Linked DNA regions of Caenorhabditis elegans. The protein of the gene in region 1 interacts with the protein of each later gene in a pairwise test. Each region holds a gene or a part of one and is shown on either strand. Other genes may lie near its edges. The genes, in order: rtel-1 and mrpl-12.

Region 1 (11,531 bases):
ATAATTTCTCTGTTTTTTATTTAGAAATATCATGATTTGGAGGTTTTCCCTCCACTTTCAACAAAATTAATGATAATTCTGGTGTCGATTTACGAGAAAAGTTAAAGGCGCATGGCTGCTGCCGCCTTGAGGGTCTCGTGACGAAACACATTTTCTGTTGTTGAGAGGCGAAACATTCAGTGTTCCTAAAATTTTTTCACTGTTTTTCCTTTTCCTTGTTGAAAATGTGATCGATTTTTTCAAAATTTGATTAATTTATATTCAAAAATGTGAATCCGTTCAATTCTGTTGCACTAAAACCACCGATTTTCAAAATTGTACATTTTCAGACCTCAGTTTTAATATAATTTATTTTTTCAGTCTTTAAAACGTAACCGCACGCGATCCTTAATTCACCAAGATGGTTAGGGAAGACAGATCTACTTGGAAGGCTAACTACTTCACCAAGCTTGTCGAGCTTTTCGAGGAATACCCAAAATGCCTTCTCGTCGGCGTTGACAACGTTGGATCCAAGCAAATGCAAGAGATTCGTCAAGCCATGAGAGGTTACTATTTTTAATATTCTCAATTCCTTTAAATCGTAATTTTCAGGACATGCTGAGATCCTTATGGGAAAGAACACCATGATCCGTAAGGCTCTTCGTGGACACCTCGGAAAGAATCCATCCCTTGAGAAGTTGTTGCCACACATCGTCGAGAACGTCGGATTCGTTTTCACCAAGGAAGATCTCGGAGAAATCCGCTCCAAGCTTTTGGAAAACCGTAAAGGAGCCCCAGCCAAGGCTGGTGCCATCGCTCCATGCGACGTCAAGCTTCCACCACAGAACACTGGAATGGGACCAGAAAAGACCTCTTTCTTCCAGGCTCTTCAGATCCCAACCAAGATCGCCAGAGGTACCATCGAAATCTTGAACGACGTTAGTTTTCATTTTTAATAGTATATTGTAATGTTTTCATTTTAGGTCCATCTCATCAAGGAAGGAGATAAGGTCGGAGCTTCCGAATCTGCTCTTCTCAACATGTTGGGAGTTACTCCGTTCTCATATGGATTGGTCGTTCGCCAAGTTTACGATGATGGAACCCTCTACACTCCAGAAGTTTTGGACATGACCACCGAGGAGCTCCGCAAGCGTTTCCTTTCTGGAGTTCGCAATGTCGCTTCCGTCTCGTTGGCCGTCAACTACCCAACTCTCGCTTCCGTCGCCCACTCTTTGGCCAACGGACTTCAAAACATGTTGGGAGTTGCTGCCGTCACCGATGTCTCCTTCAAGGAGGCCGAGACCATCAAGGCCTTCATTGCCGACCCAAGCAAGTTCGCTGCTGCTGCTCCAGCTGCCGCCGCTGCCCCAGCTGCTGCTGCTCCAGCCGCCAAGAAGGAAGAGCCAAAGGAGGAATCCGACGACGACATGGGATTCGGTCTCTTCGACTAAATCCACAAGTTGTTCTGAATTTGTTGTTAATGAAATGTTATCTCCAAAAAAAGCGTTTTTAATTACTTTTCTTTGTGGTGTTATCGAACACTTAACTATATCTCTATTTTTTTGTTTCTTGTTTGAATTTTTAATCTCGTAATTTCAGTTACTGGCCCCATCCTTCAAAAATGCTGATCTACAAGGATATTTTCACCGGTAAGATTTCTTTTTCTGAAGAAGTTTTCCACACTCCTTAAGCTAGTTTGACTGTGATTGTGCATTTTAGATCGCTTCATGAGTTCGCTGCGTTTTGCTGTGAATTCATTGTTGCCCTAATTTGTATAGTCATGGGTGTCAAATTGGCGAGTTACGTGTGGTAAATGGATGACGATCAAATTTTGTTCTGTGAACTTTGCCGTAGATGTGATGCTGTTTGTTTATAGATTGATAATGATTGTCGAACAATTTCAGATGATGAGCTCTCGTCCGACTCCTTCCCAATGAAGTTGGTTGATGATCTTGTTTACGAATTCAAGGGAAAGCACGTTGTCCGCAAGGAAGGAGAGATCGTTTTGGCTGGATCCAACCCATCTGCTGAGGAAGGAGCCGAGGATGATGGATCTGACGAGCACGTCGAGCGTGGTATCGATATTGTCCTTAACCACAAGCTCGTTGAGATGAACTGCTACGAGGATGCCAGTATGTTCAAGGCATACATCAAGAAATTCATGAAGAACGTCATCGACCACATGGAGAAGAACAACCGTGATAAGGCTGATGTCGATGCCTTCAAGAAGAAGATTCAAGGATGGGTTGTCAGCCTTCTCGCCAAGGATCGCTTCAAGAACCTCGCCTTCTTCATTGGAGAGAGAGCCGCTGAGGGAGCTGAGAACGGTCAAGTCGCCATCATCGAGTACAGAGATGTTGATGGAACCGAAGTTCCAACCCTTATGCTTGTCAAGGAAGCCATCATCGAGGAGAAGTGCTAAACTTCACTGTTAAATCATTTAATGTTTTCAATGAACTATATATACTCCCCTATCACATATCGATTGCAACAAAAACATAAATTATTGTCTCTAGTACCTTGGTTAGAATGGTTTGGAACAAAAAATGTAATTTTGTAACTTGAGTTTCATGGAAAGTTCCAAATTCGATGAAGTTGTCTCGAAGTATCGGAGGATCTTGAATAGTCGTAGCATCGAATACTTTGCTTCGTCGTCTTGGGATTTGCTTGAAGATGAATGGAGAGAGTACCTGAATCTAGAATCGGTTAGAACAAAAATGTATCTAATCTAAAATTATATTCAGCTTGAAGACGTCATAGTCTTCGTAAATTCATCGGATAATCTTGTGTCAGCTGATTGCGCCTCTATTCCACATTCTCTGAGAGACTTGAAAGCAAATCTTAAACTTTTCGAATACAATAGGAAATGTGTGGAAAATCCTTCAGATCTTTGGCGTCAATGGACAGGAACCACAAGAGATGGGTTAAATGTAGTTATAATCTTGAAATTTTAAAATATAAAATTAACAATTTCAGGCATCTTTCCGTACAATATCGTCGGCGAATGGATTGGTAAGGAAGAGGATTAAAGCGAAGAAACAACACGAAATTGATAGAATTGTGGAATTAATCTCACAAATTCAAATATTCCAGAAAGATTCGGCAGGTATTCAAAATAATAAACTTTTCGAATCAGTTGTCGAATTTTGCAGATCCCATAGACAGTCTGGTGGATATTGGTGCTGGAATTGGACATTTATCACGTATGATCTCAATTCATAATAATATATCGGTTATGGCTGTGGAAGGAAACCAACAGGTGCGTCAAAATCACAAATATTTGAACATAAATCCAAAAAAAAACTCGTTTCAGTTCACATTGGCTGCAAACTCGCTCGATGAGAAATTACTTCTGGATTCTGCAAAAATCGGATCTCGCATTGAAAATTTCAACGTCAAATCAACACCAATTCGATACACCAATTTTGTAACCGAAGATCTTGCTTTGAAAATCGATGATTTTGCTGTAAACTCTGCAATTTTGGTCGGTCTCCATTGTTGTGGAGATTTTTCGTCGACAATTCTCAAAGTTTTTCAAAAAAGTGAAAAATCGAAAGCCCTAGTGCTTTTTGGATGTTGTTACCACAAAGAATTTCAATGCTTTCATTTTTTACGACCAGAAAATAATGAAAATGAACGAGAGATTTCTGAAAATGTAGGTTTTAAAAAATTATTTAAAAAATAATTTCAGTTAATTTGCAGACGTCTTTTGGAAAGTCAACAGTTTTTCCATTGAGCAAGAAATGGGAAAACGTCGAAATAGACTATTTACTTCGAGAAGCAGCTTGCCACAACAACGAGAATCTTGAGGAACGATTTCTGAAACAGGTATAAATTAATAATTATTTCTTATCACAAATTTCTATTTTTAGAAGATTGATCTTTCACGATATGCTCGATCATATCTGGAAAAATGGATTTGGAAAGTTTCCGAGTTGCCAGAAGATCGGAATATCGGGATGTGTTCGGTAGGCCCGATAGTTTAGAAATTTAGCTATTAAATTCAATTTTTCTCATTTCAGGTAAAATGTATTGAGAATCAGACAACGTTTGAAGAATATATTCGAAAAGCTATGGCAAACCGGGGAAATCATTTACTGGATAAAGTTTTGCAGGTTAATATTAAATATTTTTTTAACATAAATTACTAAACTTCTATCTAATTTCCAGATAATTCCACAATCTGAACTATCCGCTCATGTCTCTTCTCTCCGAAGCTCTCAGTTCGATTCGTTTGAAGTTCTCCGATGCATGTTTGCTCCAGCGATTGAGTCAGCAATTATCGACGATCGAGTGGAATTGTTAAGGGAAAATGGAATAAATTCTAGAGTTGTTCCACTCTTTGAACCTTCTATTTCACCTAGAAATCTTGCCATCATTGCTTATAAATAAACATACTTTTGCAAATTTGAGTTTATCCTGTGTGGTGTGTGATTAACATTTTTGGTTTTATAATCCACGATTTTCTGTTTGTTTTTTGTTGTTGCCAGGTAAAATCTCGGCTAACACATTTCAGTATGCCGCCGAAAGCTTCAAATTCAACGGAAGTTTGGATTAACCCGAAGTTAAGTGTAAAATTCCCATTTGAACCATACGAATGTCAGAGGATCTTCATGAAGAACGTTGTCGATGTACTGGATAGAAAACTAGACGCAGCACTTGAAAGTCCCACGGGTACCGGAAAAACGCTGTCTCTTCTCTGTTCGACGCTCGCATGGGTTCAACGTCAAAAAGAGACGAAGCCGCTGGATTTTGCCACGTGGCAGACGTCAGGAGCCGGTGGAGCAGAAAAAACTGATGAGAAATTGAAGAGTGCATACGTTCCGACGATATTTTATGCATCAAGAACACATTCACAGTTGGAACAAGTTGTTCATGAATTGAATAGAACTGAATATAAATGGTATGGGTTTGTGAGAAATTGCGATTATGTCACGGAAAAATAAATTAAAATTTTCGAAATTTTCTCCAATTTAATCATATTCCACAGAAAAATAAGAGAAAGTTATTTTTTTTCTATCCAACTAGTTAACTGCAGGTTCTTAACGCTTTATTTTGGCTAATTTAACATTACTTTATGGAAAACCTTGGCTTTTTCTGAAAAGTTTTGCGATTTTCTGTAATAAATTCCCAATATTTTTTTTAAATATTTCGCTTTTATTTCTCTATTTTAATTTCCAGGGTCAAAACCACAATTCTAGGATCCCGTGAACACTTCTGCATCAATCAAAAAGTCAAGAAAATCAAAGAATCCAATCGACAGGCTCATGTTTGTCGTGGATTGGTCTCGAAGCGAGCATGTCATTATTATAATAAATTTGACGGTACGGCTGAGTCCTGAAATTGCCAGCAAAAAAAATTATTTCCAGCGTGCACCACAGACAAAATGACAGAATTTTTGGATAAAGGCGAAGCAATGGATATTGAAGATTTCGTGAAACTTGGAACTCAAAATTCGTAATTTTTCGCATTAAAACCTATCAAAAACCATTAAAATAATTTCAGATTATGCCCATATTTCATGTCTCGGCAACGTTCTGAAACTGCTGAACTCATTCTTCTTCCCTACAACTACATTATCGATCCAAAAATGAGACGAAGATACAAGCTGGACCTGAAAAATTCAATTGTGATCTTCGATGAGGCTCATAATCTAGAATCAATTTGCGAATCCAATGCATCTGCTGAGCTCACTTCCACGTCAATTGCTCTTTGTATTGAAGAGCTGAAAAAGGTTCTGGCGTTGTTGGTAGATGAAGAAGAGACTGCAAGAAGTGAAGCAGATGCTGAAACTGGAGCATTCGGAAGTGCAAAAATTGATTTAACAAAGAAATTGATTGAGAATTTGAGAACTGAAGATTTGATGACAGTTTTAGAGAAAATATTTTCATTGGAAGAAGAAATGGATAAATTATTTGGATCATCTCAATTAAAAGTTAGAATATTTGAAAATAATTCCCTAAATCATTTTTTCTTTTTCAGTCTGTACCACCATTGAGTGGAAAAGCAAGTGACGGTGAAATTCTTCTTGAAACTCTTGCAAAAGCTGGATTCGATGCAAATTCTGTTGAACGGCTTGTTGATGTTCTTCGAGATGCCATTTCTTATCTTTTGTCTAAAAATGAAGAAGTCGCTCTAACCGAAAAAGGAGATGGAATGGAAAAAGTGGCGGATTTCTTGTTGTCCATCTATTCGACACACGCTCAAGATGTTGCTGCTGCTGTTGGCGAGGAAACTGTTAAAGTTAGATTTTTTCACCGAAAAAATTAAAAAAAAATCTACGGCTAACTGAACACGCACCAGCCCCAAAAATATGTCTCTCGTTAGGAATTTCACGGAAAAATTCAAATTTTGTCAATTAATTTGGCCATTTCGCTGATTTTCAAGCGTTTTTCGTTTTTCAATGATTTTTATCCAAAATGATATTCCAAAAATATATGTGAAGTTGAAAAGTGAATAAGGTTTCATTCCAATAGTTTGACGAAAAAATCATCGTTACAGTAACCCACATCTCGGTTTTTAAAATTTTTCTTCAAGCTTTCAATTTTTTTAAAATTTCGCTTGAGCTCTCAATCGAATTTTGAGTTGATTTTAATATTAAATTTAATTTATTTTTAAGAAAAAAATTCGAGAAAAATCGATGCCTCTGAAAATTACTGTAGTTCTTAAAGGCGCATGCCTTTTTTGCGCGGCCCTGAATCTAAATTATTAATTTTCAGCTAGTTGATCGAGTTGATCCAAAAACTGTGGCTAGAAATTGCAAATTGTATATTCAAAAGGATAAGGACAATGAGAAGCTTACAATCAAATATTTCTGTTTCCAAGCTTCAATCTCGATGAGAATGCTCAAAATGCGAGGAGTTCGAAATGTTCTTCTGGCCAGTGGAACCCTTTCACCAATACAGGCGTTCACTTATAATATGGGATTGTACGTCTACAGAATTGGTAAATTCAAAAATCGTTCTATTTTTCAGGAATTTCGGTGCAATTCTTGAGAATGAGCATGCTCTGAAGCAAGTTCCAGTTTTAACTTCAATTGTGACACGTGGAAAACGAGGAGGACTCGCCGGTTCATTCCAAAATCGAAAAAATCTGGATTACGTGACAGGTGTAGCAGAAGCATTGTTACGTGTCATGGAAGTTATTCCGCAAGGAATTCTCATTTTCTTCTCATCATATTCTCAAATGGATGAACTTGTTGCGACGTGGAAAACGACGAAATGGTCGAGTAATTCGAATGAATCGTTTTGGGAAAAAATGGAGAAGACGAAGAGAGTTGTGGTAGAACCAAGAGCTAAAGAAGAACTAGCTGCTATTCGTCTGAGATATACACAAGTTCGTAAAGTTTTGAAAATCGTCACGAGGAAAATGAGCAGTGGAATCAAGGCGGTTGTCGAAAAGATGCCGTTTTTTTAGTGAAAAAACGAAAATCAAAAAATCAAAAAACAAAAGATTTTTCGTTAAAAAATCCAACTTTTTGCCCAAAAAAAAACCAATTTAAAAAATTATTATCCAAGCGCGAAATTTTGTTATCTTTGCCCGAAAAATGCGATACCGGGTCTCGCCACGACTACTTTTTAACGAAAAAAGATGTGCGCCTTTATAGAGTATTAGTACTGTAACTTTAGATTATGTGTAATTTTCATCGTTTTTCATCGTTTTTTCTTAAAAAAATTAAACAAAGCTTATAAATTTTTAATCCAAAACCTCAAAAATCGTTTTCAAAAATGAACGCTCACTTGTTCTCGAGGAGTACACAATCAGCGTAAATCGACACTTGATAGTGTTAGAGGTTCCACTTCCCAATATGAAGTAGTTGTGAAAAATTTTAAAAATATTTACAGGGCGTCTCTGAACAACACGGCGCTGCTCTATTAGCAGTTTGTCGTGGAAAAGTATCAGAAGGAATCGATTTTTGTGATGCCGAATCAAGAGCCGTCATTATTATTGGAATCCCATATCCACCGATTCATGATGAGAGAGTTGTTTTGAAGAAAATGTATTTGGACGATCTGATGGGCAGAAAAGACACGGTTTTGTGAAGATATTTTAAAAGTTAAAATAATAAAACTGGGTTTTCAGAAATCTGAACGTCAATCGTCTCAAGATTGGTATCAAATGGAAGCGTTTAGAGCTGTAAATCAAGCAATCGGCCGAGTTCTTCGTCATAAGGATGATTTTGGAACTGTTGTTCTGATGGATACACGTTATGCTTCAGCAAAACCTGAAATGTTTCCGAAATGGCTCAGAAATACGATTTCTCGGAGTGACACTGATGGGTGCGCTCTCAAGACATCACGATTTTTCAAAGAAAGAGGACATTTGATTGAGGTTTTTATTTCAAAAAAAGGCGTTCAATATTAAATCATAAAATTTTAGAATTCGAAGACCGAATACATAAAAAAGCAGGCAAAACAGTGCAAATCGTTCCGACAAGTGAAGCAAACAGCTGCATCAGATTCCAAAGATGATATTATTGAAATCACATTAGAAGATATGTTCTCGCCTGCAAATATGAAATTGGAAAAGAAAGAAATCACTAAATTACGTCCTCCACAATTGATACCTTCAACTTCTTCAGTTTTCAGCCTACCAACGGTACGGGCTTCCAAACGTAAAAAGAAGTTATTACACATTTGCCATTTTTGAGCTGAAAAAAAAGTTTCGAAACCGGATACCGTATTTTTGGCACAAAAATCGTTGGCTTTCTACAGTAATTACATTTGTTTTCACTGAAAATAATATAGATAAAATCTAGATCGGTGATTTAAAATTTTAATACAAAAAGAATCAGCGGAAATAATGCAAAATAGATTTTGCAAAATCAGAAATCCACTGAAAAAAACACTTCTCCTCGAGGAGTACACGCTCTGATTTTTTACACATGATTTTTTTTTCAGAACGAAGATGAGCTGAAAATCAAAAAATGGGAGCAAGAAAACGATATTCAATGCTTATCTTCAATACCCCTTGAATCTAATAAACGAAAGTTTAAAATTGAAACACCAGGGCCATCGACATCTACGCTGACACAGAAAAGTGAACCACCAAAAAAGAAGAAAATTCTGCTTTTGGTAATTATTTTCAGCATAAATTTCCACTAACATACAGTGAAATTTCAGACACGAAATACTCTACCTGATGAATATCAAAAAGCAATTGAAATTCCAACTTCTGAACTTTTGAAAGATGTATGTCAGCTGCCTACCTTATAAAAGTGAAATAATCCAATTATTTCCAGATGTCTGACGACAATAAAAAGCAATTTGCCACCACACTCAGAAGCTACAAAGCTGAAAGTATCAGATGGGATGAAGTTTTTCAAAGATTTCGGCCAATTTTTGTTCCGCACAAGGCTGATTTGTTTATTGGTTTGTTAGAATTCAAATTTTTATTTCAACAAAAAAATACAATTAATTTTCCAGCTTGCTCCAACGTTCTCCGATCGGAAGACAAAATGAAATATCTGAAAAAGGCGCTTGAATCGAAGATCCACACATAATTTTCATTTATTTTTTTTTCTCTCGTAACATTTCCTAACTCTCTAGATCCTTTTACATGTAAAACATTATTGACCGGTGTTTAATTTTTAAATTTGTTCCCTAAATAAATGCGATCTCATGGTCACTTCCCATCACCCCAAGAAAACCATTTTCATAATTCTCACGTAATCTGCCTCGAAACCACATGTAGCTGCTCAGCAGCCACATCTCGATGTTCGATCTTCCTTGATAATTTCAACGACAAATCAGTTATCAACAATTAAATAACCGGTTTTTGGGGCCACGAGACAATTGTGAATAGATGAGAGAAATGATAGAGGGATGGGCTTTAGATTACAGTTATATGATGAAAAACTTCGTATTTCTCGTTTTGGTTTTCAAATTCCTGCAGTTTTCATCGTTTCACTTCTAGATTTTTAACGGTTCAAATTTTCTATTTTTGTTAATGAGATTTCTTATTATTACCACAATATTATGCATAATCGATGTGCAATCGTGCTCCAACGCCAATTGAAAACACCCCTCCCCTAAACGTTGGGTCTCGTTAGGTATAGGAAGGAAAATCCTGATTTTCTTAAATTTCCGTAATTTCCGTTTTGTATTTCGTATTTTTCTTCTGTTAAATATAATAATTTTTATGTAAAAATAAGGTAGTCCAAAAAATTGAAAAATCCACGTAGATTACACGAGCTGCGTAAATTGGCATAAAGTCTTGTTAAGACTATTCAAGGTGTTTGGTAGTTTTAATATCTTAAGACTGTATTTATCAATTTAAAACAAAGATCAGAAATTTTTGTGTGTAAAATTGGAATGATTTGATAATCGATAAAAAAGTGCGTATTATGACCGTTAAATGACGTTTGTATTTAAAATAAACATAAGAAAAATATTCTGTCTAAAGGCGGTAGGCAGACCGCAGAGTTAATTTGAAGACTTGCCTGTTCAATTTTACCCAAAAAATATAACATCTGAATGAATCCAAAAGAATGTTTCACATATTTTATCGTATCCTTTTGTTTAACTATTTATCGATTGGCTGATAGAATTTGTGGTAATCATTATATACTAGTACAGTAATCCAATTGTATCGTTTTTAACATGTTTTCTAGTGTCTAATTTTTATAAAATTAAATACGATAAAAATAACTTTGAACAACATAATTTCCTGTATTAGCTGAATTTTTAATCGCCAACATAACATCCAAGAAAGGGGCGGAGACTTGAAAATTAGATGAAACGATTATGTTTCGAATTGTTCGAAATCGTTATTTTGGCTGCACTTTGTCTGATGCTAGGAAATGAAACATTATGAAATAAGAATAGAACATTTTGATTTACCTAGCACTTACTTGAGAATAGTTCAAAGATGAGGAAGATAACGAGTTTTAGATTTTTGAAAACAAAAAACTATGGGATCATTACTCATTTGATAGTGAAATTGTTTTTAATCAACTATTCCTTGTTTAAAATTACGATAATGTTTGGTATAAAATTTGTTTTCAGTAAATTGCCAAACTTTTCATAATGTTCAGATGCAAATTTTTTTCTCGTTAAAGTTCCCTAAAAATATAAAATTAAAATCAAAACATAATTAGAATATGCTTAGAATATAAAAAATCTTGGGAATTTTTTTGTTTTAGGTGGACTTCCAAAATTCTGGATAAAATTATAACCTAAATACTTATTATAATACAAAATGACCAAATATATCATAAGAAATGACTCCAAAACCTTTTTAGCTTACTGAAAGTATCCAGTGAAAGTTTTGGTAAATTGCAAATTTTTGAAAATTATGGGTTTCTCAAGAAATTCAGAGCAATATCGAATGTTCCACTTCTAAAGTAGACAAAAAATAAGTGAGAGGTATTAGGTGTAAGTAATATCATCTTTTTGACTGAAAATAAAAAATTTCAAAAAAGGTTTTGAAAATTTTTTACTATGCTATTTCAGAATTTCAGCTCTACCTTCAACATCTTACTTAATTTTTTCCTTTCCTTAATCTAAAAATGTTCCGACACAAATTCTGGATTGTACGTGATAGATTGAAAA
Region 2 (7,396 bases), on another chromosome or scaffold:
GGATCATTGCCGGAATTATCGACATGAGGGACCGAAGACCTGCGGCAGAAGCACATTGATCCTTTCCATTCGACAACTCGACACTTCCCCAGGGAACCGATCCAGTGGTAGAGTTGATTCCCTTCACTTCAATCCACCCATTCGAGTAGTCAACTTCTGTAGCGTAAAAGCACACAAAGTACTGAAAGTCTAGGAATGCGGTGGTCAGTGAGTTCATTTGATCTCCAAGCCAGAAATCGGTGAATGTGACGAAATGGAATGGTGATGTGAAGCACTTGTAGCAATGTTTCAGAAGCCAGAATCGAGAATTTCTGTGGAATACCGAGTCGGGTTTGGCGATTGGATTCAGAAGAAGAATCAGACAAACCACCATTAGTGCTAATGGAGGTGCGAATGGTGGAATATGGAGCATATGAGCATATAGATAGGCGAGAACTGCAAAAGACCACAGCATAATCATAAAGGATGCGATTTGCATCAGAGTTTGATATGAGAGATGATTCCTGGGATCTACTTCAAAGATCAGAACGTGATTGACTCCAGCAGCAGCCCAACCAGCCATATTCACACCACAAAGGAAGATTGATAGGAAGAGAAGTAGTGGTCCTCGGAATAAACGAACGGCTACCCATTTTGGTTCTTGAGGTCGTGCTGGGGAGGCGATCCATGTTAGAAGTATTGCAAGGAGCAGGATGATGCTCGCACCGATGAAGAGGCCCAGGGAGAAGGTGGTGAGAGGCTTCTGCTTCTCCGAGAGTGGTGGTACCTGGAAAATTCGATTTTTTCTTCATTCCGGTTTTTTTTTAAATTTTATTTTAGTTTCTAAGTAAATTTTTTATTTGAAATTCACATTTTTTAAAGAAATTTTTATTCGGAAAAAACTGAATATTTTTTTATTTTATTTTTAATTTTTGAAAGATTCGAGTGTTTTTCTCGAATTTTTCGATTTAAAAAAAATTAATTTCCTTACTATTTTAAAAATTTATTCGATTTTAGATCAAATATTGATAATTTTCTAGGTTTTCAATTTTTTTAAAAATTATTTCAACGATTTCAGTCAGGTTTTTGTATTTTCTTTTTTTTTTAAACAAAAATTGAAAATATCACAATTTTTCCCTGGAAATTTTTATTTTGATTAGAAATTTTTTTTTCAGAAAAAATTCATTTTATTGAAATTTTTTATTATTTATTTTCAAAAAAACTTAAAACTACTATTCAGCATTTTCTTAGATTTTTTTTCAAAAAATCTCCGAAAAAAAAAACTGAAAATCGCTCGAAAATTCAATTTTTCATTGGGTTTTCTAAAGTTAATTCTGTTTCGTATAAAATAATCAATTTTCCAATTTTTTCAGCGAAATTTCGAACCTTAAGCCTCTTCATTCCAGCTTGTCGATTTCCAGCCTCCAAATCATTAATTACACTGGTTTCCACATTTGTGATCAGAGTTTCAATTTCTCGATTCAAGAAAAACGACGATTTTTCCACTTTATTAATCCGCCAGTCGAGTCCTCGTTCGTTGCCAGTGAGCTTGTCGTGTTTCTTTAAAATCTTCCGAAATCCGGTAGCATTCAATTGCTGAAAGTTCTGAACCAGCACCAGAGAAAGATAAAACTCGGAGAATGCGAGTTTCAGCTGCTGCTCATTCCGTGTGGTCTCCTTATGGAATTTGTCTTTTCCTCCGAACCTTCTACGGATCCCTGTGGTATCGCTGCGAGACCCAAGAACATCCTTGAACACTTGTAGTTCGGTTTGAAGCTCGTGATGTTTTCCCTGTCCTTCAGCGATTTTTTGCGAGAAGAATAGGTTGATCTTGGTGAGCTCTTGGTCGCACTCGTTGAAAAATTTCTCGTCGAGCCGGGAAATGTGCTCTTCTCGGCGGTCATCGTCGGCGGGAACCTCCATCATATCATCGTATAATAGATTTTTGAGCCGCTCATAGTCAATGTATTGTTTCCGCCACTCGGGCGTCAAGTGGCTCGCTAGTTGCTCGCCGAACTTCATCTAAAATCGGGAAAATGGGAATAACTTACAACACGGCCATCGCCGGAGCCTAAATCAATGAGCGTTCCCTTCTTGTTGCTGTTGCTGCTCGTGGCGAGTGAAAGTGCGCGGGAGACGTTCGCGAGCTGCTCCGTCGTTGCTGGGACGTACGGAATGCAGACGCGTCGCAGAGCGGGCGCCACGAACGGAATTGCGGCCGCCGAGATGGCGAGCGCCGTTGCGCCAGCCACACCGGCAATCACCAGACCTGTGTTCATGCCCATACTGCAAAAAAACACAATCTCGAGGGGAACACTCATTGATTTAAATCATGATTTTTTATTTGTTTTAAAATTTATTATTTTTAAGTTTAAATTATCTTTATTTTTCAAAGGATTATTGTTTTTGAATATTTAAAATTAAAATTCATACCCACCTTTATTCTTCAATCGATTTTCTTCGGAATAAGATGAAGTTTCTCATCAACGATTCAAATTTTCTACCTGAAAACAGAAAAAAAATGTTTAAAACGATTTTCAGGCCTAAAACAGTGCAAAACACTGGAAATATATCGATTTACGCATAAATTGCACTCGACAGAATCAAAATTTAAATTCGTACTTTTCGCGAAAAAGAGATAGACAACGAAATTCGATAAGGGCACATGCGACTAAAAATCGGGAGCTCAGTGCACCGGAAGTGCGCAAGCAGTTGATGATTGCGCAAACGAGTGGCTACTGGCGCGTTTTCGGATGGGTCGGATTTATTTTCTGCAATTTCTGTGCGATTTTTATTAATTTTTTGCGTTTCCCACCGTATTTTCCAACCAAATTTCTGAATTTTTATATAAAATTGTCGTAATTTGCATGGTTCCGACGTTGAAAATCACCAAAACCCAGGTTAAAATTCGTTTTTTAAAAAGGGGGTTTACTTTATAAAGATATGCAATTTTGGAATTTCAGTTTTGCTAATTTTTCGTGGTTTCTTAGAGTTTTTCTATTGAAGATTGTTAAAGATCTTGTAAAGAAGATGTTAAGTCGGTAAACATTGCAAAACTTTTAATTTTCCTCAATTTTCGCTAATTTTTTGCGTTTCTTTATGATTTTTATTTTAAAATTAGGTTTTTCGGGTATCGATTTGTTAATTTTTTAGCTAAAAATATATTACATAAACAAAAGTTTCTTCAAACTTATATTTCTCTCTTATTCCGATTAAAAACTAAATTACCTTTCAACTTCCAGGTAAATATGTTGTCCAGAACACTCCGACCGATCTCCAAGGTGCTCAGAAGCAGCGCGAAGTACTCCCAGGCCGCAGGTAATCTGAAAATTAAGATTTTCCTCAAAATCATATCAAAATTTTCAGGTCTTCCATTAAACGAGGGAAGCCCGGCACCATTGCCATCAGAAGACAGAGCAATCTCCGCAAAAGTCAGCTCGTTGGTTGAAGAAATCGCGAATCTCAGCCTGCTCGACGTCTCCGATCTTAACTGGGCTCTCAAGAAGCGGCTCAACATTCCAGATCAACCATTGATGGCTGCTGCCGCTGCTGCTCCAGCCGCTCAGGGTAAACATTATTTATTATAGTTTAATAAAATTATTTATTTATTTTCATTATTTTTCAGCCGAAGCGGAAGCCGCATCAGACGTTCCACAAAAAATGACATTCACTGTGAAATTAACGAAATTCGATGATACCAAGAAGATCGCAATCATCAAGGAGATCCGTAACGCCATTCCAGGCCTCAATCTCGTTCAGGCCAAGAAGTTTGTGGAAACCGCACCGGTAAATGTTAAGGAGGATCTTGGAAAGGCAGAAGCCGATGAGTTGAAGGCTATTCTGGAGAAGGCTGGAGCTACCATTGAAATTGTTTAATTTTTTGTTCTATATTTCCCTCTTTTCATTTGTTGTGTTCTCATTTTCTTCAAATTTTTCGTAGATAGTGTAGCATTTCTTTTTGTTAAGTTTTATTTTATTTTATGGAAAAATAATTAATTTCAAAAATAATTAAATTTACACCCGGCAAGAAGAGAAATACACGTCCCATGATAGAAATACTATTGGATAGATTCTGGAGAAGCTGCTGGAGAAGATCAAAAATCGGTAGTCTCATTTGAAGAAGTGTCAAGACCTGCAATTTGGGAAAATTACCGGAAGCCTGTATGGGTACAAACCTCCGCGTCCGAATACTTTCAGCGACATTCCGAATTGAAGAACTCGCATATCCTTTTCGGATAATTGGCCGAACGAGATCGCGTGGTCGGAACATTTTCCGGCTTTTGTGGGACTTGAACGGAACAATTTCGAGTCTGGCGCAATTATTTGTTTTGGTGGAAGATCGTTGAATAGTCGGAGAGCATCTTCATCAAATGGATCAGCTATCTGGACACCGTACTTCTCGCTGCAGTCGTAGAGAGCGAAATCCGAGGCTCGCGAGAAGAAAAATCCTCTGAAAATCATGAAATCAAACATTTTTAGAATTTATTCGGGAGTTTTCCAGAAGTAATTCTCTGATTTTCGATTTTTTAGTCTTCAAAAACTTTCGGTAATTTTGCAAATTAAATTTGTTACACTGATGCAAAACTTTGCGATATTTGCCCCAGAATTACGGTACCCGGTCTTGATACGACATTTTTTTGCTAATGTTGAAAGGTCTGCGCCTTTAAAGATTAGTGAAATTTCAAACTTGTGCTGCTGTGGAGTTTTATCGCTTTTTCATTGTTTTCTGCTGATTTATTTTTTAAACATACATATTAACAATCGTGAGAAAAACTATGAAAATAAATGATTTTAATGAAAATTCCACGGAAACCAAAGTTTTCAATTACAGTACTCTTTAAAGGCGCACATATTTTCGCATATGACCAAAATTTGTCGTGTCGAGACCAGGTACCGTATTTTTAGCGCAATATTTCGCGACTCGAAAATCCAAGTAAATAGTATTTTATTAAAATTTGATACACAAGGTGTAGGGTTCCCAGAAATTTAATTATTTTTGCGCGTCAAATTCGCTGTATTGGGTACGTAGCACTAAAAAAAATCTTACTTGCAAGCAGAAAGCTTATCAATTGCTGGATTTGATAGCACAACTCCACCACGAACGGAAATCTTCTTGAAGCTGCTCAGCGGGAAGAGCCAAGAGAATAATGTGCTGGAAAATTGCTGGTTTTTTGGAAAAGCTCGGCCACTGATTTAAATATTACGGGAAAACTAAATTCTGGGAATGCATATTACGCAACACATTTGACGCGCAAAATATAAATATATCTCGCAGCGAAAACTACAGTAATTCATTAAATGACTACTGTAGCGCTTGTGTCGATTTACGGGCCCACTTACTGTAGTTTTCGCAATGAGATATATTTATATTTTGCGCGTCAAATATGTTGCGCAATACGCATTCTCAGATATTACGGGAACGCAAAATTCTAACCTAGTATCCTTCACTTTTCCAAGAACAACTGGTTTTTCAGAATCAAAATTTCTCAGAGTATTTCGAAGATTTGGAACTATCAAATAAGTCTGATCATCGCCCAAAAATGTCCATTGAGCCGGGACTTTTGACGAGAATTCCATTGCATATAAATAATATGTCCAGTAGAAATGGTTAAGGCTGGAATCCACGTGGTACATTGTATAGTTATCTGTAAATTTGAAATTTGAAATTAAAAAGTGCAACAGAGCGCGATTTCGGCCCCGACTCACTTTGAAATTTCTGAAACTTATCGAATAATTTCTGATTATTCGTGAAGAATATCGTCTCCTGACACAGTTTTGCGTACCCATCTGTGATTGCGGATATTATATTTTCTGGCTTCTGTAATACATCGAATTTCACGCACAAATTTTTAATTTTTGGCGACTTACGTGGGTAGCCTTGTGGAGAATGATAACACAACGGAGATTAAAGGATTCCGGTTTTGGTGTGGATTTTTCTGGAAAAGATGAAATTGAATCACAAATTTCAAATAAAAAATGTATATAGATACCATGTTCCATTAAATGAATATGTTTTGAAATATCGTTGTCTCCATCAAATATGAACAAAATACCTATCAGGTAGCCAAGTGAGACGCCCAGCGCCAAATGAATCACAACATCTCTGAAATTGACTTTTTCCCTTGAAACAATGTATGTGAACACAGTAGCAACACATGCCATTCTCTTCCGTACATTATTCTATAAATTTGCGCGTGAAATCTGGTGCATCGGCTCCGATGACGAGGCATATTTTGCCGGGAATTGCCGGAAATAAAATTGAGAGATGGTTTAATGTCATCAAAAGTGGTTTCACGCAATTTTCAAATGGGTTTTTTTTTCAGTTTGGAAAAATTGCGCGTCAGATATGTTGCATTGAGTCCGCAATTCAAAATTGTGCACACACCAACTTCATGCACTGTATTTTACGAAAAAAATTAGCAATTTAAGTTTAAAAATCTATTACGGGAATACAAAATTCTGAGAATACGTATTGTGCAACATATTTGACGCGCAAAATATCTCGTAGCGAAGACTACAGTATATATTTTAATGACTACTGTAGCGTTTGTGTCGATTTACGGGCTCGATCAGCGATATTCCATCTTTAAAAAAACTCGATCCAGTAAATCGACACTACAGTAGTCATTTATAGAAATACTGTAGTTTTCGCTACGAGATATTTTGCGCGCCAAGTATGTTGTGCAATACGCATTCCGAGAATTTTGTGTTCGTGTGATAGCGAAAATAATTTTAAATCACTTCTTCGGCACATAATTATATCAAAATGCATGGCAAATCACGAGGAGACCCAAATTTCGCTTTATTTTCCGCGAAACTCTTTGAAAACTGGTACCTGGGACTTCTGATCCGTGACTTGAAAATATTGATCGTCGTCATTTCCCCATATATCGGTCAAGAAATAAAAGGCAGGGAAAGTGTGTGTTCTCCCGAGAGAAGTGACTGTCTTTCTCTCTTTCTCAGTGATGTGTCTCCTTGTTTATTCGGAGACCGAGAAGAAGGAGAGATCGATTCGACTAGAAAATTTATTGTATACGGAAAAGATAGAGGAGAAAAAAATTGAGGGTGTGCGTGGGTTTTCAGGTGATAAAGAGCAAAAGTACTCCAAAATTAGGGGGAAATTACACTTTTTTTCGTATTTTTTTGGGTTTTTTTTTTGAAATTTAGTAGAAAGATGTTTCAAATTGGATTTTTTTCAGAAAAAAATTATTTAATGCTAAAGATATTATCAATTTTTTGCAAAAACTTTCAGGAAATTTGTTTCTCAACATTAAATTCTGAAGCAATTTTTTTGTAAAAGTTAATCTGGAAAATATGAAAATTTTGAAAAAATTAGATTTTTAGCATAAAAAAACCTCAAAAATCCGGAAAAAAGTGTAATTTGGTTCAAAAATTACTAAAAATCTGGGAAAATTTT

Evidence for each region.
Region 2: the proteins of rtel-1 (region 1) and mrpl-12 interact in a two-hybrid assay, tested with the Caenorhabditis elegans proteins (2 studies listed by BioGRID).

What each region holds. Positions count from the first base shown.
Region 1 is NC_003279.8:10,567,534-10,579,064, forward strand, and holds rtel-1 (Regulator of telomere elongation helicase 1 homolog), read left to right. Parts: upstream 1-4,495; 5' UTR 4,496-4,496; coding exon 4,497-4,882; intron 4,883-5,160; coding exon 5,161-5,303; intron 5,304-5,348; coding exon 5,349-5,436; intron 5,437-5,484; coding exon 5,485-5,914; intron 5,915-5,961; coding exon 5,962-6,222; intron 6,223-6,698; coding exon 6,699-6,907; intron 6,908-6,953; coding exon 6,954-7,314; intron 7,315-7,823; coding exon 7,824-8,012; intron 8,013-8,061; coding exon 8,062-8,310; intron 8,311-8,358; coding exon 8,359-8,577; intron 8,578-8,879; coding exon 8,880-9,053; intron 9,054-9,101; coding exon 9,102-9,170; intron 9,171-9,220; coding exon 9,221-9,350; intron 9,351-9,404; coding exon 9,405-9,481; 3' UTR 9,482-9,602; downstream 9,603-11,531. Other genes in the region: rplp-0 (Large ribosomal subunit protein uL10), read left to right, coding at 401-545, 592-917, 963-1,430; tct-1 (Translationally-controlled tumor protein homolog), read left to right, coding at 1,601-1,628, 1,884-2,401; F25H2.12 (Methyltransferase domain-containing protein), read left to right, coding at 2,550-2,684, 2,724-2,909, 2,956-3,085, 3,132-3,238, 3,293-3,634, 3,682-3,807, 3,852-3,947, 4,002-4,094 and 1 more. UniProt on the Caenorhabditis elegans protein: A probable ATP-dependent DNA helicase implicated in DNA repair and the maintenance of genomic stability. Acts as an anti-recombinase to counteract toxic recombination and limit crossover during meiosis.
Region 2 is NC_003281.10:10,704,540-10,711,935, forward strand, and holds mrpl-12 (Mitochondrial Ribosomal Protein, Large), read left to right. Parts: upstream 1-3,221; 5' UTR 3,222-3,227; coding exon 3,228-3,297; intron 3,298-3,345; coding exon 3,346-3,546; intron 3,547-3,604; coding exon 3,605-3,855; 3' UTR 3,856-3,982; downstream 3,983-7,396. Other genes in the region: Y39A1A.21 (ATP synthase subunit C lysine N-methyltransferase), read right to left, coding at 2,031-2,264; Y39A1A.22 (Xenotropic and polytropic retrovirus receptor 1 homolog), read right to left, coding at 1-766, 1,366-2,001; W09D10.5 (N-acetylgalactosaminide beta-1,3-galactosyltransferase), read right to left, coding at 4,074-4,111, 4,155-4,429, 5,027-5,131, 5,414-5,624, 5,686-5,797, 5,848-5,915, 5,970-6,082, 6,815-6,858.